Linked DNA regions of Mytilus edulis. The protein of the gene in region 2 purifies or fractionates together with the protein of the main gene of each other region. This does not show direct contact. Links are inferred from orthologs where the notes say so. Each region holds a gene or a part of one and is shown on either strand. Other genes may lie near its edges.

The links.
Region 1: the proteins of eukaryotic initiation factor 4A-III (region 2) and regulator of nonsense transcripts 1-like purify together in Homo sapiens (co-immunoprecipitation; 8 studies listed by BioGRID and IntAct, with this or other methods). This does not show direct contact. The link is inferred for Mytilus edulis from reciprocal best matches to the Homo sapiens genes EIF4A3 and UPF1.

The regions. Positions count from the first base shown.
Region 1 is NC_092347.1:39,447,976-39,460,815, forward strand, and holds the start of regulator of nonsense transcripts 1-like, read left to right. Parts: upstream 1-6,523; 5' UTR 6,524-6,703; coding exon 6,704-6,877; intron 6,878-8,933; coding exon 8,934-9,091; intron 9,092-9,609; coding exon 9,610-9,699; intron 9,700-10,180; coding exon 10,181-10,390; intron 10,391-11,512; coding exon 11,513-11,725; intron 11,726-12,840. Other genes in the region: poly(A) RNA polymerase GLD2-like, read right to left, coding at 1-137. UniProt on the Homo sapiens protein: RNA-dependent helicase required for nonsense-mediated decay (NMD) of aberrant mRNAs containing premature stop codons and modulates the expression level of normal mRNAs.
Region 2 is NC_092346.1:39,352,550-39,365,529, reverse strand, and holds the start of eukaryotic initiation factor 4A-III, read right to left. Parts: upstream 6,055-12,980; 5' UTR 6,021-6,054; coding exon 5,888-6,020; intron 4,826-5,887; coding exon 4,753-4,825; intron 4,405-4,752; coding exon 4,275-4,404; intron 3,864-4,274; coding exon 3,731-3,863; intron 1,962-3,730; coding exon 1,881-1,961; intron 742-1,880; coding exon 600-741; intron 1-599. Other genes in the region: uncharacterized protein, read left to right, coding at 12,533-12,732. UniProt on the Homo sapiens protein: ATP-dependent RNA helicase. Involved in pre-mRNA splicing as component of the spliceosome. Core component of the splicing-dependent multiprotein exon junction complex (EJC) deposited at splice junctions on mRNAs.

The DNA.
Region 1 (12,840 bases), on a different chromosome or scaffold from region 2:
GTTTGTGAGTTATTATCAAGATATTTATCTGCAGTACAAGTCCACTCAGATTTCAGTACAGCAATCCATTGAAGAAGTCTAGTAACCACCGACTGTTTACGAGAAAACTGTATTTGACCCAAAACACTGCATGCCATAAAATCTGAAAATAAATAATTTACATAATTTAATTGAGAAAAAGTGAAGGGATTTCTAAATAAATGCTGCTATATTTTTAGACAAATAACCAACACTTAAACTATGTGTGTAACTGAACATTGTTGAACAGAGTGTGGACAAGTTGGGGTTTTAATCTCCAACATGTCCAAGTGGGATATAATTTTACTGAGCAAAATCATTTTTGGGGATTCAAGGGTTAACATGAATATTCTCAATTTAACGGGATTAAAATAAGTGCAAATAATTACATCAGAAGTAATAACTTTGATTTGGCATCTTTTCTCAATCAACAAAACAGAGTGTTTTTAAACGAGTTGGATCTCTTGAAAGATGCAGATTTTTAAGAAGAATCAATCTACATGTAGCAACATTTCATTTACTGGAAAAGTCAAATGTTGAGAGTACCCGGTAGTATGTAATTCATGTGTAAGACTTTTGATGTTAATATAGAAAATTAGGTGTTTTATCTTATTTAAGGCTTTGATTTCTAAAAAAAAAATACAAAAATGTACCAATTTGATTCAGTTTTTTCCAACTTGCCAAATAAGGGGAGATAAATCAGATAAAGCAATTATATAAAGGAAGTGTTGTGAATTTAATGCTTATTTCAATATCTAGCATTTTTCTTTTCTGAAAGCAAGTCCCAGAGCTATCTTTTCACATTTTTTTCTTCAAATTCTGTCATGTAGCAGGGCTTTCCATTGAAGCCGGTAGCCGGCGGAAATCCGCCGCTTACGGTGGCTTCAAGTGCCGGCTATTTCACTGCCAAAAATATAAATTCAAAAAGAAAAAAATATCTTTTTCAAATGTTTACAGGCAGCCGAGAGACGTTTGTCGCAAAGTCGCGGTCACGATAAACAAGAATGAAAAGTCAATGTTTACCGTGGGCTAAATATAGTTCACATGAATTCAGGTCACTGATTGGTTGTCTATTTAAAGTCAGAATGCATCGTTTCTTTTCAAAGATAACAAGAGAGACGTTCCGGTTGTCATTGAAAGATAACAATAGAGACGTTCCGATGGTCATTAACTCGTTGGCTTTTTTTGGCTTTTAAAACGTGAAGACAATCAGATAGGATGACAATCTTATGTTATGGAATAATATTAGTCAAATTAAAGAAAGTTTAGTAGATCATATTGTTCAGAATCTGGAAAACAGTATCTTTTGAAGTTCATTTTTCAAAGCCCACGTGGTGTTCAGAGAATCAAGGTCAAAAACGAAAGTAGAATATTGTCGACTCGACCTCAAATAAATAACATTTCCAAATGATTTATGTATCCGACTTATTGAACATTTTCCCAAAAAAATAGAAAATCAGAGGATATATCAATTTTCTGTCAATGCTTGAGAAATAATTGTATGATTTAAATACGCGTAACAGTCTTTAGAGAGAAAAGGGGGGGGGGGGTCATTTGTTTACAAATGCACGTAGTTATGCAAAATAAATAGATCAAGATTTCTAACATATCGGATGATTATTTAAATAAAACTCCTTTAAAAGTAAATGAATTTTAAGCATAAGGTAATGAAAATAAAAAACTGACATAAAAAAAATGAAATTTCTTGGAGTTTTTTTTTTTCTTTCTTTAATTTCATACATAAAAAATGGTCATTTGAAAGATTAAATTAGGTGCCAAGAGATTGCGAGAATGCAGGATTTTTCTCTATTTATGCCAGAGCTTCTGGGGGCCTTGAGCGGCCCCAAGACCCCCTGCCGTAAGGCACCAAGCTTACAGCTTGGTGGGCGTCCGGCTTCGCCGAACGCATGTTATAGCCGCCTATAATTTTAATTCAGCCTTCTACTTCCATTTTAATGGAAAGCCCTGATGTAGTTTTCTTTTTATCACACAAAATGGGATTTTCCATGCATAATCTATACACAAATATAGTCAAAATCTGACAATTTTGCACAACCTGAAATTGACCTGTAATGTGAAAAATATTCATGTGATGCATACTTTTATTACATTTTTGAAAAAAGCACGACAAAAACTACATTTTGACAAATTATTAAAAATTTCTATGGATTTTAATTAAGGCTTCCCTGCCACCTAACAGATGTTCCTTTAGGCTCTGAGAAGTTTAATTTCAATCAGAATGACAGAATTTTCTTCCACTTGGAATTAAATTGTAATGTATTAATAGTAATATTTAAACACATATATGAAAATGACATCCTAAACTCAGACTCAGGCACCTGTACGTTGTTGAAGCTAAAGTCTTAGAGCAGTTTCAAAACCTAACATTAGTAGTGACAGTCATTTGTCAAAAAAGTTGTGACAGAGAAATGTTATGCTATAATCATCATGATCATTGTGAAATTGATATATTTTGAGTATATGCCCCTTAGCATTGAGGATCTATGATTGGTCAATAAAAACTTTTATCTTGAATCTTGCTTCTTTGAGTTTGACAGCCAGTTTACAGAATTAATAATTTGCGAATATATGTTTGTTATTATAAGCTTTTGCATGTATATCCTATTACTCAATCGGTTAAATGATCCTACTCTTATCAGCTTATCTTACTTCAGGTTTCGAAGTAACCGAGTCAATTTTGTAAACACAGTTCAACGTGGTTTAGGTACCTGTGCACAACGTCACTGATATTGAGGGAACCCAAATTCGAATAAATGCAAGATTTCACAAGTAAAATGAACGTTGTTACAATGCGTATAAAAATACCACTATACAGTTAAAATTGTATCACTACATAAAAAAATCAATTATGGAATGAGCTGCCAAACCACATAAGACAGGAAAATTGTCTAACTCAATTTTCCAATCTAATACAGAACTGGAATGGCAGCTCATGCCAATGTAATGCATGCCATTAGTGATTGATACATAGCTTTGCTTCCCCCCTTTTTTTTATATATTAATACTAAAATTAGCTAGCTATGGTTTTATATTTCTATCTGCATAAACAGTACTATTTTATTTCCTTATGTTATGTATGTGCTTTCAATAAAACAGTACTATTTTATTTCCTTATGTTATGTATGTGCTTTTAATACCCTGCTTTAATGTATGTATGATTGTCTTAATATGTGTGTTTTGTTTACATATTATTTGCTTGTGTGTAATTTATTATAATGTCGATTTTAAAAGCTTAAGAGCTTGTGTTACTTTGTTTACTATGCATCGACAATAAATAATAAAACTTTGATTTGATTTGATGATACTGTTACTTCTAATTTTGATGGTCTATTGGTTTGTATTGTTGGTTTTCGATTGAAGGAGGTTTTTTCAAGTCACAAGTTCACGATCTGGGACTTAAAGTGTATTACCCTATTACAAGTCAGTGGCGTAGCTAGGTCATTTTTGCGTGTACGCCCGAACCTCGGCGAGGGGTCTGAAGACCCCAAACTGATCCATGTCAAACAATTTCTGGTAGTGGATTAGATCTAGGGAGCGAGGCCCCCGGAAGCTAATGAGTTATCGAGAATGAATACCATTCCTGTCATTAAAAACTCATCAGTATCAACATACTTTAGAATCTAGATGGTTTATTTGTTATGTTAAATTATTCATTTTGTTAATTTGAAATAAAATAGTTATTGGATTCAGAGATAATGTCAAAACAAGTAGCTTTTAAATATGTTTTAAAAGAGCTGTGAGGGTAAAGCCAGGCGCGTAGCTCCCTATACGCTAACACGAAGTTGCGTGCACATCGATTCGGCATGCAAAAAAAATAATGGCAAAATAAAAATTTATCAATTGAATGTTAAAGGAAACACGTATGTTGTCACTTTTTCAATTGATAAAATATCATTAAATAACGGCATTTGGTTTCAAAATAAAAGTTTTATTGGAGATGATGGCAAAATCGGACAGTAACTTGTATCTTTTACAAGATTTGAATTTGTAATACTGAAGTCTTTAGAAGACATGTAGTTTTGGAGCACATTTTACAGTGTACGGTTCATCAGTTTGGAATGAGATGTACCAATCGGCATTGGAATTATCAGGTCCCTTCGATATAATTGAAAATATGCCGAGGCGATGTGGTCGGCAGACTACCTGAGCCAATCACCCTGCAAACACGCCAAAACAGTATTGGAAAGTCTCATTATGTTTTGCGTTCATAGACCATATGATAAGGGAACTGGAGAGTGGAGTCGCGTACGTCTAGTATTATCAGAAAATCGCTTCTTTGTGCTGTATCTGCTTCATCGTGTTGTAGGAAATATAACAGACGAACAAATCTCAACATTGTCTGAGACATACGAAACTGACCTGGCATGTAATTTTGACGAATTTAATTGGGAGGTCGCTCGATGCCGAACATGTACGCTGGTTTATAACATCTTGCGAGTGCTACCATGGAGATCTATCAGTGTACTACGTATGTTGAAAACAAATGTACGATCAACAATGAACAACGACATACAGTTACTGCATATTCATCGGTATTTCAGTGTGAATATTGACAAAGTAATAGAGAAGTTTGTTTCTGCCTAGACCCGAAGAGCAGATTTTTGACGATTTTGAGTAAATTCTGTATCACAAATATGTTTTCTTTATGTATTACTCTATTCAGAAGATTTATTAATAGTTTTACAATAATATTTTTTTTATAAGTCCTCACTACATATAGTGCCTCTCATTAACCGTCCTTTGACCGAAAACCGAAAAAAAACATTTTTCTGCAAAAAAAATTTGGGAGTTGCTTGCACATTGTTTCTTTCTAGCTACGCCCCTGAAAGCAATTAACCAATTAACAAAATCACCTTTTAATTTCCAAATTTCGTAAATGAACATTAATCTTCAGAGATTTTCAGGTGCAATAATAGATATCGTAAAGGGTTCTGTGGAATGCTGTTTTTTTGTGTCAAGGATTCCCCCTGCAAATAGTGAATCCATTTATCATTCCATTACAGGATTTTTAAAAAATCCAACATTTTCTTTAGATATTTTGTCTTGATCTTGAGTACTAGTTTTGGCCCAAGTTTCATGATAATTTATGAAGATTGATGCATTGATAATTTATAAAAAGCCATATAGGATCGCTATGTCGCGCTTTGGCATCTTAAATACAAATGTATGTCACAGGCTCAACAAAACTGTAAACCACAAAACGATTCTAAGGAGATAAAGGATTGCTTAAAACAAAAGGGAAGGGAGTATAAAACTCACATTAGCTTCAGACTTGACAGAAAATGAACAAATAAATGATATGATTCCATTTGACTGAAAGTAAATTTTGTCAATTTTATTCACAATTACAAGCCAACGAAGAAAGAATTATAAAGCTGATGTGCTTCTAACAAGTTATTTTTATTTTCTTTAGATTGCTTTTTCAATAGCCTTGGAGAAGTCCATATATAATTAAGCAATCTGTTTGCATTCCTTCGTCTAGGTTTTGTGTAATATCATCTATGAAGGGCATTATGTTTGTCTGAGTGGGACATGATGTTGTTGGTTAGGTAATTACATGTATGTGTTCCATGATTTTGCACCTGCTATACACGTTAAAGATACCGTGGACGGTAGTTTTCTGCTTTGTACTTTTGACCTTTTTTTGAAGATAGGACAAACGTTGGCCATTTTCCAGTCTATTGGTAATTCTCCATATTCATAAGAGTTTTGGAAGATGATACTGAATATTGGTGTTATTTCGGTGGCTATACGGTTACGGTTTAGAACCTTAGCAGATGTAAGTTGGTCTCAGTGGTCCATAAGATATAACACATAAAACTTCAGTAAGAGTCGGTATATGCAATTCAAGTAAAAATACAAGCTTTGAAGAGCTTTTAAAAGCAGCTGCCGTGTGTGATCGATTTAGACTTTATTAGTATTTTCAGTATTCCATGCATGACATATCTGCCAGTGATGTTAACTTCTGGCATAGATGGATAATTTTTGTTTGAAGATCCACATCTATCTTGGAATTCCTGGTTTGAAATGCTTGTTCTCCCAGAAAAAGCAGACTGAAACTGTTGGTTAATTGTATATTTGCTTGATCATAATCTAACTTGACTGAGGATCTTGAAAAAATAGGGTCGACTACCCTATTTTTTCAAGTCAGTGGTAATTAAGACTGATTTCTGCTAATAAGCAAGCTAACCAAATACTCTACCTTAACCTACATACTCAATGCATTCTGCTGTATAAAAAAAGAATATCCATTAAATCATAGTATTCATATATATATAACATCACGAAAGACCAAAGTACATATGCATCTATCATGAGTCATGATAAAAAAAAAAACATATTTTATCTTGTACAACACTGAAGCCATATGTTTTGCACCATTTGAATGCATATCGGTAGATGTATTTATGTATTATATTTCGATATAATTTAGAGGCACTTTACAGGCTCAGTCCTGTGTTTCTACAATTTATTTCTGTCTTTTATTCATACCGGAACGTCATCATAATTTGTTGTGGTAGTGACGTCAACGGCCTTGGACACAAATGGCATGAGTTAGGAGGAAACGCATTCCGACCAATTATTTCCCGTTATTGACATGAATTAAGAGTCAACACGTTAAACAGATATAACAAAGAACCGTTTGTAATCAAGCGATGCCAATATGAGTGTTGACGCTTACGCCCCGAATTCCCAAACGTTGACATTCCTTGAAACAGAGGAGGATCTCCTTGGGGCCGACACGCAAGGAACGGATTTTGATTTCACTGATTTTACGCTCCCGTCTCAGACACAATCTCAAACTCAAGCATCACAGCTTGACTCCAATCAAAGCCAGGTAAATAAGCATGTCAGTTTTCTTATCAGTTTAACTTGTCATGGAACGAAAGTATGCAACACGTGTGCAAACTTGATTGACTTTCAGTTTCAACGAGTTTCATTCATGGCAATCATACATTTAAGTGTATACAATAAATCAAATATTTATAGTATTTACATTCCGTCAAATTACATTCATTTTATCCAGCCCTTTCAAAACCAAAAACATCCTTCCAATTTGAGCTGTCTCAACTAACACCTACTACTACTAGTACCAGCAGAGCTCTAGATAAGCTGCGTATATGCCTGATCATGCAATATAAAGAAAACAATTGAAAACCCAATACAAGTGCCCATTGCAGCGTTCAAACACCCAATTCATGCAAACATGCAAAGGAAACCCCTTTTGACATGATTGAATGTGAAAACCTTAAGTCACTATCGTGTTATCTATTACATTGTCGTTGTGTAAATCTACATTTGTAGTTTTGTTATATTTATAAGTGGAAATGTCCTTTTGTTCTTAAAATACAATAGAGTGACACCTCAAGTAGTTGCAATGGGTCCCTGTTTGAAGTTTCTGATGCTCAAAAAGTACATGTGTTGAAGAAAACAGGTTTCGATCTTCTCTGCGTAATCAGCGTAAGTCATGTCATCATATTTAATTCTATCGTATTGATCAGAATTTATCTAACACATGTCAATGAATTAAAGCAAAATAAAATTTGATAAATATTTAATAGAACCATGTCTCAATCAACTTGAAAGTAAGTAGTACACATGTTCCCTAGGCTATGATATGATCTTCTAATTTCAATGCCAAATAAAGACATTTGAACCCAATTTCACGGTCCACTGTTCAAAGAAAATGATAGTGCTAGTAGGGCATCCGTGTGATATTGGGGTACAAGTCAAATTGGCATCCGGTTAATTCAGCACCCACAGAAAAAGTCAAATTGGTACCTGGTTAAATCGGCATCTAGTCAAATTGGCACCTATTTGAAGTCAATTGGGCATCCAATTATATTTGATATAAATATATATAAACTATTAAAAAAATGAATAAATGATCTTTCTATTTCTGATTATTTTTAGTTTTTTTTTAACATTAATGACTCAAAATTCTATGACTCAGACTGTTGTTTTGATAAGTTTTCTTTTCAATTAATTAATTTTAAGAATTCACTAGTACCTATACAAATCTTTGTTGATTAAAAAGTCAACCAAACCCATGTCTTACTAGCATTATTAAAAGAGCTGTACATCAGTGTACATTGTATCTCTATAGAAGTAGTTATTGATGTTTTTTTTTTTCTTCATTGAAAAACTAAATAAAAAACAATGAAGCCTTTTCGCAAGATGTTGTTTAATCATGAGAAAGTTAGAAGTAGTAAGAGGGAAAACTATGAGTCCTTTTCATTAGTATCACTAATTATATGTAATTCTAAGGTCGTTTTGCAGGAAAGTTTAAACAGCATTAAACCAACAATCATGCAGAATGCTCATCTGGTTGAAACATGCATAAAAAATATCTTACACCTTTAATACACTCACATTAATTTGAACGAAAAATAATGCATACAAACCCCCCCCCCCCCCCCCGAAAATGTAAATTGGTCAATATTTTGGGACAACCCCTTCTTTATTTTAATCGATTTGCTTAGAATACTGCCGAAAAATATATATTAATTGATATAAAATATATAAGACATATTTAATATGGGTGCCCAAATTACTACATCAGGTGCTGATTTAACCAGGTGCCAAATTGACTAAGTGCCCATTTAACTATACTGGGTGCCGATTTGACCAGGTGCCGATTTGACTAGAATTCGACACATTCTTGTTTTTGAAAGGTTAAGAAATTCATGAACTACAAATATAGGACCCTTGCTAAACATGCAATTTTAGGCCACAAAGATTTTCTAATATTTTGTACAATGTACCTTTCTTCAATGCTGAGGATTGTAACTTGACATGTTGGATAGACTGAGACCTATGTTTTTCTTATAAATGAGAATTGAAGTTTTATCTTTTTGAGATGTGTTTGTAACTTTGTTTATAATATTTATCAGGTGAATGGTATAGATGGCAGTATCCCTAATGACGTGGATGCGAAAGGTACCATCGAGGTGAAAGTTAATAATGTTGCACAGGGAGTTGGGGAGCTGAACTTTGAGGAAGATGAAGAAGAACAGTTTTGTATGAAAGATCTCCCCAAACATGCATGCTCGTAAGTTCTCTTAATGATAACTATTAAAAGCTATAAACATTTGAAGTATATGGCTTATAAAGAATAATCATGATCTATAAATGTATTAGTTGGAAATGGGCGACAGCTTAAGTAAAGAAGAAACAGTGCAGTTTCATTTCAAAAATATGATGATAATCTTCCATGGCAATTTTTTCTAAATAATCTTCAGAGATAAAAAAAAATTGTAACAGAAAGGTGAAAAAACTAAAAGGACATTAAAACTCGTAAGTTGAAAATAAAATTACAGTACCAAGGCGAAAAAAACAAGACGACAAACAGGATACAAAACATGAAGAAGGTACAAATTTTATGTAATTAATTCCTCAATCCAAATACCTTAGACTTTGTATAAAAATTCACTTGTTAGGCAGGCACCTGCTACATTTTGTACATGTATTATTGACTATTTACCAACCTGATTTCAAATGGAAGTACAAGTTACAACTTCTGCTCTATTGATTGTATACATTATATTTAAACAAGGTTTTCTATTATAGTTACTGTGGAATTCATGATCCAAGCTGTGTAGTATTTTGTAACAGTACAAAGAAATGGTTCTGTAATGGTCGTGGTAACACCTCTGGAAGGTTTGTATTCTTGTCATTTATGAAGATAAAAAGTCATGGTATTATCAAGATTTTTCTTGAAATATAGAAATGGTAGAGAAACAGTTGAAAAATCTGTAAGAAATGTTAGATAATATTTTCCACTTTTATTTTCTCAAGCAGGGGTATATAGTGATCCTCCATTTGTTTGGTCGGGAATTTGTCTGTTCATTCTTTTATTTGCTCATCAGCACTTGATATGATATACCCATCTTCTAAACCAGTGGCTGTATTTCACTGAAATTAAAAAATAAATAAATTATATCCAACATCTTATATAGCTAATGGAATTGTAAAGCAATTCATGCTTTGCTTAGTAAAATTTTCAGAGCTGTTAGTTTCAGATGGGTAAACAAACTTAATTCTAGTAGTTTAATTCTTTGAATTTTGCGATAAATTGTATGCTTGATTGTTAAAAACTAGCCAATAATAATGTGTTAAATGATACTACCTATAATTGTAGCCACATTATCAACCATTTAGTGAGAGCCAAAGCAAAGGAAGTGACACTGCATAAGGATGGACCCCTGGGAGAGACAATACTGGAATGTTACAACTGTGGATGTAGGAACGTCTTCTTGTTGGGTTTTATACCAGCCAAGGCAGATTCTGTTGTGGTCTTGTTGTGTAGACAACCTTGTGCTACTCTGTCCAACCTCAAGGATATGAACTGGTAAGTAATCAGTCTTGCTCCCAAGCCCACTAACCCAGACTTTTAAAAATTATCTCGACAGACCAATAGAATCCAACTACTTTTTTCGTAAAATTATGCTTTTGGTCTGAAGATTTATACAAGTTTATTGTGAAGATTTTGCCAAAATTAATTTCCTGTACAAGTTAATACATGTAGTAGTTTGTTAGAAAACTAATATGCTGTCTATCATGAGGTATTGATCATTGGAAATCAAGATATAAGTGCAGTGAGTCTGCTTTGTGAAAACAAAAGTTCAATCATCCACTAGAAGGCAACATTTCTTTGCAATTTTAAGTTTTAGCTTTTGTAGTATTTTAGATTATTAAAACAAAGTTCTTGACATGTGCCTTAATTATTATTTAATGACTAGCATATCTGCTCTTTGGTTTTGGTATTTGAAAAAAATAACACAAATTTTTATGCCCCATTTGTGGGCATTCCTGTCCCAAGTCAGGAGCCTGTAATTCAGTGGTTGTCGTTTGTTTATGTGTTACATATTTGATTTTCATTAATTTTTATATATAAATAAGGCCATTAGTTTTCTCGTTTGAATTGTTTTACATTGTCATATCGGGGCCTTTTATAGCTGACTATGCGGTATGGGCTTTGCTCATTGTTGAAGGCCATACGGTGACCTAAAGTTGTTAATGTTGTGTCATTTTGGTCTCTTGTGGACAGTTGTCTCATTGGCAATCAAACCACATCTTCTTTTTTATATATTATGTTTTCTGGTCTGTGCGTCCGTTCGTTCAGCTTCAGGTTAACGTTTTTGGTCGAGGTAGTTTTTGATGGAGTTGAAGTCCAATCAACTTGAAACTTAGTACACATGTTCTGTATGATATGATCTTTCTAATTTTAATGCCAAATTAGAGTTTTTCCTCATTTTCATGGTCCATTAAACATAGAAAATGATAGTGCGGATGGGGCATTCATGTACTGGGGACACATTCTTGTTTAGACCTGATTTCTGACAAAAAATAAAATAAGACTTTTCAACATTACACCAGAATTGTCAGAGGGCAAAATGGCAGAATTGTCTTCAGGTGATTTTTATGATACATAGCAGGCTATAAAAATTCTTATATTCCATTTCTTTTACAGGGATCCAAACCAGTGGCAGCCATTGATACAGGATCGTCAGTTCCTGTCATGGTTGGTTAAAGTACCATCAGACCAGGAACAGATGAGAAGTCGTCAGATTACAGCCCAGCAGATCAACAAGTTGGAAGAACTATGGAAAGATAACCCTGATGCTACTCTAGAGGATCTGGAAAAGCCAGGAGTTGATGAGGAGCCACAACAAGTTCTACTCAGGTAATGAAAAAGACATTTGAAATTTACACAACGGGTTTTTCTATGAAGAGATATATGACAGATCATGTCAGTGAGATAGCAACCTAACATTAAATGGCACTGGAAAAAGAATAAGAAGCCGCTTATTTATTTGATAATGTTACATCTGATATTTATGGCCCCTGCTCAGCATGTCTGTCTGAAACTATGGAAATTGGTTTCAGGTCTTTAACTTTAGTTTGCCTCAACCAAATATTATGAAACTTATACACATTAATGCTTATTACAACAAAACATAGATCAGATTTGAATTTGGGTGGCGTCACTTTTTATTACTGTTCTAGGGTTATGCCCCTTTACAAATGAAAAATATGATGAAATTTTTCGTTTCCATTCTCCTACATAAGTTTACCACATCCAAACCTTATTAAACTTATACACAAATAAAGGCAACAGTAGTATACCGCTGTTCAAAACTCGTAAATCCATGGACAAAAAACAAAATCGGGGTAACAAACTAAAACTGAGGGAAACACATCAAATATAAGAGGACAACAACGACACAGCATTAAAATGTAACACACACAGAAACGGACTAAGCATTAGACAAAATCCGATGAGAATAACAAGTATAACATCAAAACCAAATACATGAATTTGGGATAGAAAAGTACCGTAACACATCTTATAGTAATATGAATTAACACTCAAATATAAGAGAAAACAAACGACACAACGGAAACACAACGTTAAAATGTAACACACACAGAAACGAACTATAATATAACAATGGCCATATTCCTGACTTGGTACAGGTCATTTTTAAAGAAAAAAATGGTGGGTGAACCTGGTTTTGTGGCATGCCAAACCTCGCACTTTAATAGCAGTGACGCCCAGATATAAAAGTTTGAAAGTCAAAACAAGTAAAAAGTTGTACAGCACTGAGGATCAAAAGTTCAAAAAGGTTGCGCCAAATATGGCTAGGGTTTTCTGCTTAGGAAAAGAACATCCTTATTATTTAGAACAATTTATGCTATTGCAAACAGTAAATTTAATCAAATGAATATAAAAGATATACATGATAAAACTGAAGTATTAACTAATTACAGAAAACAAAACCCAGATACATTACAAAG
Region 2 (12,980 bases):
TACAGGAAAGTTGTTCAAGTTCAATCCTTTTGTTTGTTTTTACCTTTTAAAGCAAGACAATCATAAGAATCTGAGATGTTCCTTAATGTTTAGAATAAAACGGTTGACGTGAGGGCATGGCCCTGAGTCAATGGTATATGTCTACAGATTGCTTGAAAGCAATCATATCCCAAAAATGTACCGTATTAATTTTTTTTTTTATATCTTATATTCCTTCACATAATGGGAGGTAATTCAAATTTAACTTATATTTCTCTTGCAGGCAAGTGAATTTTCAATTGTATTTTACATTCAAGTATACACTTTGATAACACGGATATGATTTTTCATGCATACAACAGAAGAGACAAAACTCCTTTTTATATGACAGCAAAGGGTATAAGATCTAAACAAGATTAATGCTATAATGTATGATTCAAAATATACATGGTATGTTTGTGTGAATGTGAAATAAATTATAAATTTTAAAACAAATAAATTTGATAAATCATGTAAATAGGAAGTTCAAAGTAATAGAGATCTCAAATGCTTTACAAATTAAATAAAATACGGTTGAAACTTTAAACATATATTTTGCAAAATATAAAAGAAGGTTTTACCGTTTGACTAAGATACGGATGGGTTCTGTCATAAATTTACTGGTCATTTCTAAAATCTCATGTGGCAATGTGGCAGAGATTAAGAGTACTTGTGTGGCAGGTGGCAGATATCTGTATACATCATAGATCTGTTCTTTGAAGCCTGAAAAAGATATATACATAATAAAACTACAAACGATGTGTACAAATAAACTGTTCACAAAGAAATATGTCCATCTTAACCTTGGTGTTTTAGAATAAACTCATCAATAAAGTGTGCAATCATTGTTTTGTAAATTCATTTGATGACACTGATAAGTGATTAGAAATCAGTAATAATTATAACGGCAATCATCCTTATCACACACATCTTCAAATAGACTGTCCTTATGCAAATTAAAACATATACTCCGCCCGATCACTTGAAATAACATTGGTAATACATGTGTAGTTATGGTTAAGCCATGATCACACGAGATATGAATCAGTTTTTTTTGTTTTTTTTACTGTTGAAATTGTAAAAAATCCTCGTAATATGTTCATTGCGATTATTTAAGTGACCACAGAGAATACAGTTATGATAAGTTGGCTACTTTCTTCCATCAAGACAACAACATTCAATTCTATACATTTAGGGCTATTCCGTTGAAAGAGTTTGACATTACATGATTTTCTGTTGGTAATGGAGTGAAAGCAAATACAATTCTACCACAAATGAAAAATAAAAATCATGGGTGATGTGGTATAAAAAAAACCAAACATATTCAATTCCTATTTCTTTTTTTTTGGATTAGCCCTTGTTTTTTTATGAATGGTACCAAATAATTTCATTACGTTCTCTTAGGCCTAAAAAAAAAGATATGTGTTTCCGGTATCATCATTTTGAAAAATAGGGTCGGTAGGTCGGAATTCTTTTTTTTTTCTTTTTTTTTTTGACATCGTAAATGAAATCCGGAAAATTATCATGGTTTTTCCAAGTCCGGATCCGTAATTAGTTTCAAAAACCGGAAGTGTGCCATTTGCAATGTTTTTGAAGCACCTGCTGTGCAAATTTCTTGGATTTTAACCTATTTGGAATACCTTTTGACATTAATAAAATGTTTTACTGGCTTTCTATGCAAGTAGAAGTAAGAGAGAAAAAATATTGTCATCTATCAGAAGCCTGTGTCAAAAACGGGGTCGGTTGATACAATTTTTTTTTTTTTTTTTTGAAGATCCAATAAAAAAGTTAGGGTCGTGGCTAAAAAACAGGGTCGGTCGGGTTACCGGAAACATCGATCTTTTTTTTCTCGGCCTTATTACCTTTATTTAACATCTCATCTGCTTCATCAAGCACCAGCATCTTAATTGATCTTGTTCTCAAATTTCTTCTTTTTATCATATCTGTAACGACAAGTCAAATCTCATACAATAAAATAAAAAAATAAAAAACAGAATGAAAAGGGAAGATGTTTTCAATTACAAATAATAATATGATCAAACAAAAGTAACAAGAATATGTGTGTACATAGGACAATAATAAGTCATATCAACTTGTTCTGGGTGTGGTTCAGAAATGTATTAGAGGTAAAGCATAATAACTCATCTTATGGAGTTGTCGTTTGTTGATGTGTGGTTTATAAGTGTTTCTCATTCTTTATTTTTAATTTGGTTAATGATTAGAGTCATTAGACCGTTGGTTTTCCTGTTTTAATGGTTTTACACATCACTAGTAATTTTTTGGGGTCCTTTATAGCTTGCTGTCCGGTGTGAGCCAAGACTCCATGTTGAAGACCTTACTTTGACCTATAATGGTTTATTTTTAAAAATAGTGACTTGGATGTGAGTTGTCTCATTTGCTAGTGTTTCCTACAGGTGGTTTTGGCGTGTAATGGCGCCCAGTCGCGATTTCTCGACGCCCTGCCCTTTTTGGGAAAAAAATTTGGCGCCCTGTCCTAATTTTGTCGAAATTCCTGACGCCATGCCTTTATCAGTTTATCGTCGTAATTAACAACCGGTACTGAAAGACATATTTTATGAATACCGCTCAAGTTATTTCCCTTCAAACGTAAACAAAGTTCACTAGGACGCCATTTTGTAATCGATTTCGTAATCAGCTGATTAGCAAACTGCAATAGATTGAATAGTGAATACAGATACTAATCATGCCATCAACAAATCGGATGAAGCGAAAACATGAGGAAGAAAATGAGAAACAGGCCGCAAAATGCAGAAAGCTTTTATCATTTTTTCAAAGGTTTGTAGATTTTTATTACAAAATGGTTACGCACTTGCAACGGTGTCAGTTCGGGGGTAAAAATAAACTTCTGCCAAAGGGATAATTTAAGGTTAAAGTTGAGTTAGGCCGAGGATCTCATGAAATCACTTGCATATTAATTACTTTCAATTAATTCATTTTTTCATCAAATTATTTTTTTTAAATTTACTTCAGAAATCTTCAGTTTTTAATTTGAATTAATTTAAGAAAGGAACAATTTATGAAAAAACTTCCAGATTATTTAAGATATTCTTGTTTTATGTGTAATTTATTTATTTTCAGCACCAAATGACAGTTTCACAACGCAGAAATAGACTGAATGTGTCAACTGTAAACAATCTTGTTCTAGTGTCAGCAAATACCAAATCAATAGATGATTTGGATATCAGGGAATGTGTCAACCTGTTTTTAGGGAAAAAAAGGAGGATTTGTCAATGACAATTGATATGACCAAAGCAATATTTTTATATATATGACATACAATGTAGTTCTTTCTTGTTTTTAAACATTTTTAAAAAACTGATTTTGTTTTTAATTATGTTTATTGTTTTAAATATTTCATATATATGTTTTAAACACTTTTTCTTGTTTAACAATTTGTTTTAATGATTGATTACAGATGTAGCCTATATGTCCTTTTTATAGCATTAAACTAGTATGTTTTAAATGAATCCATTTTATAGTAATTGCCTGTTTATATTAAGTACATTGTAAGTGCCCTAAAATTGTTGTCCATCGAGCTTAATGTGCCCTCTGAGCTAACAATTACCCTGCCCTTTTTAAAAGCTGCAGGAAACACTATTTGCATTCATACCACATCTTCTTAAAACTATTGAGGTAAACCATGATAACACCTCTTATGTAGTTATGTTTTTAATTTATAGTTAAAAGTTACCAAAGACTCTGCCTGGTGTTCCTGATACCACATGTTGACCATAATCTAGTTTTCTGATGTCTTCACCAATGTTTGTCCCTCCAATACAGGAATGGCATTGTACATTCATGTAATCCCCCAAAGCTAGGATAACCTGTCATATATAAGATGAATTAAATCAGACCTAGCATCTTCCTCATGTTTACATAAACCAGTTTTAAATAAAGTTTAAAAGAAAATGACATCCCATGGCAAAAAAAAAAAAAAACGACAGTTTAAGATTCATTGCTTTACTTTTTAAAGCAAAACATTTTCTGCTGTTGAAATACTACACCCCATTGAATTTCATCAAATGTATAACCATGCCTGTTTGAATGAAGACTTATGTTTTAAATTCTTTAATGGAAAAAGAGAAGATATTATGCTACATGTATATATAGATTCAAAGTAATTATTGTATATTTTGAACTTTAAACTATTTTCCCCAACAAAAAGTAAAACTGAAATACTTTTTATTATCCATTATCTATCATGTTTATATTAGAACTTAAACTGACACTGTTACCTTTTGAATTTGTGTAGCAAGTTCTCTAGTAGGAGATAATATTAATGCTTGTGTTTCTCTGACTTGTGTGTCCAGGCATTGTAGAATGGATATGGAAAATGTTGCTGTCTTTCCTGTTCCAGACTGAGCTCTAGAAAAAATTATTTAAAGTAATAAAATGTTGAATGCATGAAAGACATCATTTCATTGACATGGCTTATCAGAAGTTCTTATACAAACCATCTCAATGTATTTTTTTCGTTCACACAAAAATTACAAGCTATGTTATCTTAATTTAATCATTTTAAACTTTAAAATTAAAAATGTGTATTCTAATTACCATACAGATTATATTGTTTATAAGATATATAAAAGAAGATCTAATTCACTTATTTATGAAATTGAAAAGTAAATTACAAAATGGATAGAAGAATTGCCCTGTAAGCACCTGGGGCCATATATAGGATGAATACCAAAACACTCAATAAGTCTGACTTACTGTGCAATAACATCTCTTCCTTTCACAATAGGTTTGACAGCTCTTTGTTGAATAGCTGATGGTTTCTCAAAACCTACAAATAATTAAACAATAAAATAAATCTATGACATGAATGTCTGTTAAGAATTTTAAAAGAGAGGCAAAGGAGACCATAGGGACATTCATACTTATAACATGCATAAGACAGCTATTTCAACAATTTGATTTTCTGGGGGGCTTATGGATTTTTTCCTGGACAACCTTTTTTTCAGCAAGAAAGATCTATTTTTCTGGCGGCAAGTTGAAAACAACTTTTTTCTTTCAATTTAGAATTACATATGGTGGCAGCTGAGGGTAAAACGAACATTTTATTTTCTCAGGGTCAAAAATAAAATAATTTTTTCTCCAAAAACTGGAAACAAACTGTATCAAAAAGAATCCATAGCCCCCCCTGAAAATCAAATGGTTTCTGCCTAAATAGGAACTAAAATGACAATGACATGGCTAAAAAAGAAAAAGACAAACAACATGAACAACAGTACACAAAACACAACATACATCATGTAGAAAACTACTTAAAAGAAAGGGCAACCAAAACTGTGGGCAACAAAGTATAAGCAGAATCTACCTATCAATAAAGTAAAGCCTGTCTAATAACTAATATGTAAACGATATAAACAGTGTGATGGTATATTTTCCGTTGCTGATAACTAAAGAAGAAGAAAAACCAACTACCAACACGAGTGAACAAATACAATTATAATTTTTTGTGCATTGTTCTGCATTTGTTTATTCTACATTGGCTATAGGTATAGGGGAGGGTTGAGATCTCATTACATGTTTAACCCCACCACATTTTTGTGTCTGTACCAATTCAGGAGCTTCTGGCCTTTTTTAGTCTTGTATGATTTTTAATTTTAGTTTCTTTTGTATAATTTGGAGTTTAGTATGACGTCCATTATCACTGAACTAGTATACATATTTGTTTAGGGGCCAACTAAGGACACCTCTGGGTGCTAGAGTTTTTCGCTGCATTGAAGGCCCATTGGTGGCCTTCGCCTGGTGTCTGCTCTATGCCATGGTCGAGTTGTTGTCCCCATAATTTTTTCCATTCACAATTTTATTCGTATATTCTCTCATAAATTAATGTATGTACCGTAAGCATATATTCCTCGTAGAAGTTCTTCTCTAAGACCCATGTTATCAAACGTTGGTGTAACATCAACCTCTTCGCTGGTTTCAAATTCAACATTTTTGAGATCTTCGGTCATCACGCGTCTTCCAGCCATTTTGCAAATTTGTTGATCCGTGTCAATCACTTTCTTGTCATTAACTATTTTGTCTCATTGATTTTAAGCGCACTATAGATTACGACTTTTAACCAAACAATCAAAGCACTAAAGCATAGGAAGTATTATAAATATTAGCTACCAGTACATTGTTAAATTATGATTACAAGTAAACTATGAACGTATGTTTATTTATCATAATATTTTCAAAATCTTCCTGCATCACACATCTGCATCCCTTCGTGTTTTATCAATAGGGGTCCTTTATTTCTGTAAATTTTTATGCTATTTTTCTCTATTCTTTATACTTTTTGCCCATTAATCTCTCTTCTTTTCATTTAAGGGGGCTCGCGGGTCTAAATGAATTTTTTTATTTAATATAGGATTTCTCTATATTTTTCTATAAGTTAACTTTATCTTATACTTAATAGAAAAATGAAATAAAAAAATGGGGTCACCGTTCATTTACGCTCACAATCTGCCTTCGAAAGAAGCATACATTTTTGTTAATGTCCTTTTTTTCTGTTGAACTAATAGGAGAAATAGCGGTTATATCGAAATAAAAAAAGAACTAAATTACAGAAATCGATAAAATTTTACAATTATTTAGTTTATGTACAGCTTATTCGAAAACAACAATAAAAAATATAGGTCACCGTTGAGTTAAAAAAGATATTTCAATTTTAATGCCAAAAAATGGCATTTTTGCACCAAAGGGAGATAATTTGGAGCTTTTTCAATGATATCTACATTTTAAAAGTCCGATGGGGCCAACACGAATTGATTTTTTGGAATGATTTTTGTACCATATGATAAAGTAACAGCTACTTAAGGTAATCAATAAAATTTGTAATGAAAAATTAATGTTTAATTTTTTCTGAAAATCTTATACCCGCGAGCCTCCTTAAGCACCTCATTATTCTTTACTCTATTTTTTTGGTGTCAGTTTATCCGGTTTTCGTCGCATTTCATTTTGCCATTGTTTTGTTCGTTATATCAAGGATTTGTATAGTAAGACCTCCTTACTATTCAAATCCTTGGTTATATGAGGGTGGTAAAGGGGGGGTGCTTGCACAAAAAAAACGTGAAATAAGACATAATTTCACGTTGAACATGAAATAATTTTTGTAATGAACGTTGCACGAAAAATAAATACTTTTATTTGAACCTTTTGTGACTGAGTCACTGTCTTCTTGTATATATTAACTCTTTGTTTTACTTGATATTCCCGATTTAGTATACACATTTATGATATAATTGGTTTACGGTTTTTAAAAAAGTATTTTTTGACGATCCCTGCCAAGTGTTTGAATTTTATTTGAAAAATACCGAGCACGCACAATAAGACTTTGAAAATCACGATGCACGTAAAATTAAATAAGCAGAACACGTTGAACGAGGCACCCGTCTTGCACGACTGAACGTCAAATAAAAAAGTAAAAACACGTTGAACGTGAAATAAAAAACGGTGATCACTTTGCACGAAAATAACCCTTTACCACCCTCTTATATGAATTTTAATTGTCTTTTTGGTATCTGTTGCCTTTTTTTTCTAGGTTGTACAAAAAGAGCAAAACTGAAAAAATGGTTATCGTCCACCATATCTCCTGCCTGATTTTCGATTATAATTGTCTTGGTACATGCACAAAATATGATGGCGTAAACCAACTTTAAGGTGGTATGGGTGTTTTTCGCCATCTTGGATTGTAAAAAAACAGAGAATCTAAGGTCCAGATTTTCAATCAAGTTAGCAAAATTTGATGCAGGAATGCAGATTACTAATGTGAATTTACATTTAAAAAACAACTTTATAAGATTATAACTTATAAATATTAATATTTGTGAAAGTGTTGATTGATTTTTAATATTTTTAAATTAGCAATTTAAGGGGAGGTAACTCTGAGATATTGCATTTTCTGAAGGAATCTACATGGAATTTTGCTGTTTGTATTTTAAATGGGGAAAAACGCACGGTGACCTTATCTTTTCTTTTGATATAATCAAACCCTTTTTCTGAAACAATAGCATAACATCACAACATAGAAAATTTGTTTGCCTTATATCTTGGCTTACATCTAGAAATTGGCAACAAGGGTCATTTGAGAACAAAACTTTACGACAAAAGATATAATCACAGCTTCCCAATTGTGAACTTTCCATTCCATGTAGCAAAGTTCCGACAGCGACTGCAAATATATTATACACTCCTAGTTGATACAATATTCAAGAGCCGCCCTGTACTAATGTCTTCCTACCATGACGAGTATCAAGGTCCATCCTCGTTTTTTTTGATGGGGTTCGTGATGCTTAGTCTTTGTGTTTTGTATAATGTTTTTTTTTCATTTCGAATTCTTTGGATTCTAAAAAAAAACAGCAACAGAGACAGAAACAATGACCAGAACAATGAGATTTCTAAAAACATGTCAACTCATTTGAGCTTTTGCCTTTTTGATAGTTTTTCGTTTTTTACTCCTAAAAGGATTGACTTCCATTGAAAAATGATGTTTTCCATTGTTGCAGACTTTTTTCACAATCTATAATAGATATAAAGAGAAACGGTAAAAACATAAATGTTCAGTGAAAGATCTACAAAGCAGAACTTAGTCAGGGTCGAAAATGTCAACAAACTCTTGTTCTACATTCCCCATTTCCATTCTCAGTTTTATACTTATAAAAAAATAGTTCCCCTTTATTAACTTGCGGGTATAAATCATCTTTTTTTTAAATATAGGATTTCGCAATGTTTTCTATACATAAGCTTAATCCTATACTTAATAGAAAAAAAGAAAAAAAACCAATATGGCGTCACCGTTCATTTAAGATCACAATCTGACACCCTATGAGCTGTCTGACATAGTGATAACAGAGCAGGATGTGATTGACCATTTCCAAATTTTAAATATTAACAAACCAGCTGGACCTGACAAGCTACCTCCAAAATTTCTTAAGGCAATTTTCCCATCACTGGTTACACCTTTAACATTCATATTTAATAAAAGCTTACAATCAGGAATAGTTCCCAGTGATTGGAAACTTGCAAATGTATCAGCTATCTACAAGGGTAAAGGAGATCAGGACAATGTTTCAAACTACAGACCTATCTCTGTTACTAATTGTTTTAGCAAAATATTGGAGAAAATTATTTTTAAGTATTTACATAACTATATACATGATCATGCAATATTAACTGACCAACAGTCAGGGTTCCGAAACAAGGACTCTACTATAAATCAGTTACTTTTATTATATGATGAGATAGTAAAAAATCTTGACAAAGGGAAAGATGTCAGATTTATTTTTTGCGATGTGTCAAAGGCATTTGATCGTGTATGGCACATGGGACTTCTATATAAGTTAAGAAAATATGGAATAAAGGGTAATTTGCTTAACTGGTTCAAAAGTTATCTTTCTGATAGACAACAAAGGGTTGGAGTAAATGGTTTTTTTTCTAACTGGAATACTGTCAAGGCAGGAGTCCCTCAAGGGTCCATCTTGGGCCCTTTTCTGTTTTTATTGTTTGTGAATGACATAGTAGATGTGGTTACAAACAAAATAAAACTGTTTGCAGATGATACTTGTCTATATTGTGTTGTACATGATGAGAGATCAGCAGCTGAATCCCTGGGGCAAGATCTAGAATCATTAGATCAATGGGCAGGAGAATGGGGTGTAACCTTCAATGCAGACAAAACCAAATCTATGTACTTTACGAGAAAAAGTAATATTGATGTCACATCATTATGCATGAATGATGCACCTCTAGAAAATGTCTCAGAACATAAACATCTTGGTATAACCTTATCATCTAATGCCAAATGGTCTAGTCACATACAGGATATTTATTCAAAAGCTTGTAAACGTCTTAATATTATGAGATATTTAAAACATAAGATTGATAGACAGTCTCTGGAAAGACTTTATATTGCATTTATAAGGCCTATTTTAGAATATGGGAACATAATTTGGGATAACTGCACACAAGAAGAATCCGATCTAATTGAGTCTGTACAACAAGCTGCTGCCAGAATTGTAACTGGGCTTCGAAAGGGAACTCCTAGATGGAAATTATATAAGGAATTAGGTTGGGATTCCCTCCAGAATAGACGTCAGAAAAACAAATTATTGTTTCTTCATAAAACTATTTCTGGAGATATTCCTAGTTATATTGCTGCTGATATCTTGTCGTATACAAACACTAATGACCAGTATGGACTGAGGAAAAAAAAGGGAATTTAAAACTCCTCAGTGTCGAACCACAGCCTATAAGAACAGTTTTATTCCACATACTCTTGAAAAGTGGAATTCACTTGATGGAGAAGTTAAAAATATTTTAAGCTTTACAGGATTTAAAAGAAAACTGAATGAGGACATAAGTCCTTGTCCTGTTTTCTTTTCCACTGGTTCACGTAAAGTTAATATAATCCACTGCCAATTAAGAAATGAGGCTAGTGATCTAAAACAACACCTTTTCTGTGATCATTTGTCAGACAGCTCTATATGTGCCTGTGGAGATCCAGTAGAAGATAATTTAATATTTCTTTTATGTTTGTCCATCTTACATTTATCAGAGATATGAGCTCTTTAGAAAAATAAGTAACTTTAATAATGTCAATCTTGATGTCCTACTACAGGGTTGCTCAGACTTTAATATTGATGAAAACACAGAGATATTTACATATGTACAACAATATATTCATGAAACTGGAAGATTTTTATAATATTTCATGTGATACTATACTGTTTAGAAATCAGCTTATAACCACAGTGTACCACTCTTTAGTCTTAATTAAAGACAAACCTAACTTTTAACACAAAAAACAACCAATTGTGTTTAGCATCTTTTTGCAAATAAATTTATATATATTTTATTTTATTTTTTGTATTAGTAATTTTATTTTCAAAAATCAAGAAATTAATAGTCATGTAATAAGATGGTACACTAAATTACTTATGTATTGCAAAAAAGGGCCAATCAATTCTTGTTATTCATATAAATAGAACAACTTTGTTGCAGTGAGTTTGTGAATTTGAGTAAAAAATCACTTAATGATCTACTTGATTCCTTACCAACACTTAGGGAGCTACCATTTGATTTTTATGGGGGGGGGGGGGGGGGGGGGGGCTAGGATGAAATTTGAAAAAAATAGGCAGGACAGGAGTTTTGAGTAAAAAAAAAGGCAGGATGAGACACTTGCAAAAAAAAAAAGTCAGGACGACAATTTAGGTAAAAAAAGTCAGGATAAACTAAAAAAAAAAGGCAGGACCGAACAGAGTGAAAAATAAAAAGGCAGGATAGAGATTACAGCTAAAAAAAAATGCAGGACAAAATTTTTCATCCTAGCCCCCCCATAAAAATCAAATGGTAGCTCCCTTATTAATGTGGTATAAAATTCGACACCACCTTCAGTAGGTCTTGCTTTGACTTTGTTAACATAGTTATTTATATACATATACACAATAAAATACTTCAAGAAGTGGGGGAATTGCCTCCCCTGACTCACTGCAACAACGTATGATCTATTAACTTATCAGAAAATTATATACTATCATGCATGTTATTCAATCCATCTTGTATGGGAAAGGATTTGTATAGGCACTGCCTTTTGTCCAATCCCTTTGTTTAAATGTACATTTTATATTTGAACAATAAAATATTTTGAATTGAATTGAATTGAATCACAATCTGCCTAGCTTCGAAAGAAGCATGCATTTTTGTTAAGTTACATTTTTTTCTGTTGAACTAATAGGAGAAAAAAACAGTAATATCGAAATATAAAAAGAACTAAATTACAGAAATCGCTTTAATTTTACAATAGTTTAGCTTATGTACAGCTTATTTGAAAATAATAATAAAATATATAGAGCACAGATGAGTTAAAAAGGATATTTCAATTTTAATGCAAAAAATGGCATTTTTTCACCAAAGGCAGATAATTTTAAACTTTTTAAATGATATAAACATTTTAAAAGTCATTTGGGGTCAAAACGAATTGATTTCTTTTATTGATTTTTGTACCATAACATAAAGTAACAACTATCATTGTACAAATCTTTGACCAAAAATCACAGGCACTTGTCTCAGAATTTGTTTTCCCTATGACACATTAAGGTATAAAGGAAATAAAATTTCGGAGACAAGTGCCTGTACAAAAAATGCAAAATGTTGTAACTTGAATGTCTTGAATTGTTTTTAACTTAAAAGTTTCGCACACGGTCTGAATGGTAATTTTTGTAAACACGCATTTGATAATTATGTTTCATTTCTTCAATACTTTGCTCAAGTGCTGACGTTATAGCGTTGACTATCAAGAAGGTCCGAGTTGACTTATTGACGATTCGAGGGTGGTTTTTTTTTTTGGTAGACGGTCCGAGTGGCATTCGGGCCGAATTGTCTCGTACCCGAAAAAAATATATGCTTCGGAGTCAAAAGTCGGTCTTATTATTGTCTTCCCGTACCAAATAATCTGTTTTATGATTGACCCTGCATGTGTTGTACCTAAAATACACGTGCAATGTCTGAAGTGAAAGTTTCAAAGCGAGGAAGGAAGCGATATTTGACAGATTCAGAGAGAAAACAACGACGTGCTGCAGTGAATGCCAAACAAAATAAGAATAGGATCTACATAGGTACCCAGTATGATCGTTGGATTGAGCTTAAGAGTATTCTACGCTTGCAAACACATACTGAAGTAGCGAATATTTTGCTTGATTTGTAAGTTTCTATAAAAGACCGAATTTTATCCCTATAGTAAACAATGATTTTGAAAAACTGAACAAATTTCATAAAAAGTTAAATACATGCATATAGCACTAGCAGCTAAACATATTCAAATGTTTTGTTTTTCAAAGTGTTTTAATGCATGACAACAACCCCTTAATGCTTGATCATGTTTGAAGTGGACCCTTTTGCTAAAATGGCAATTTTTACCCAAAATTTTACTACATAATTATAGACTGATT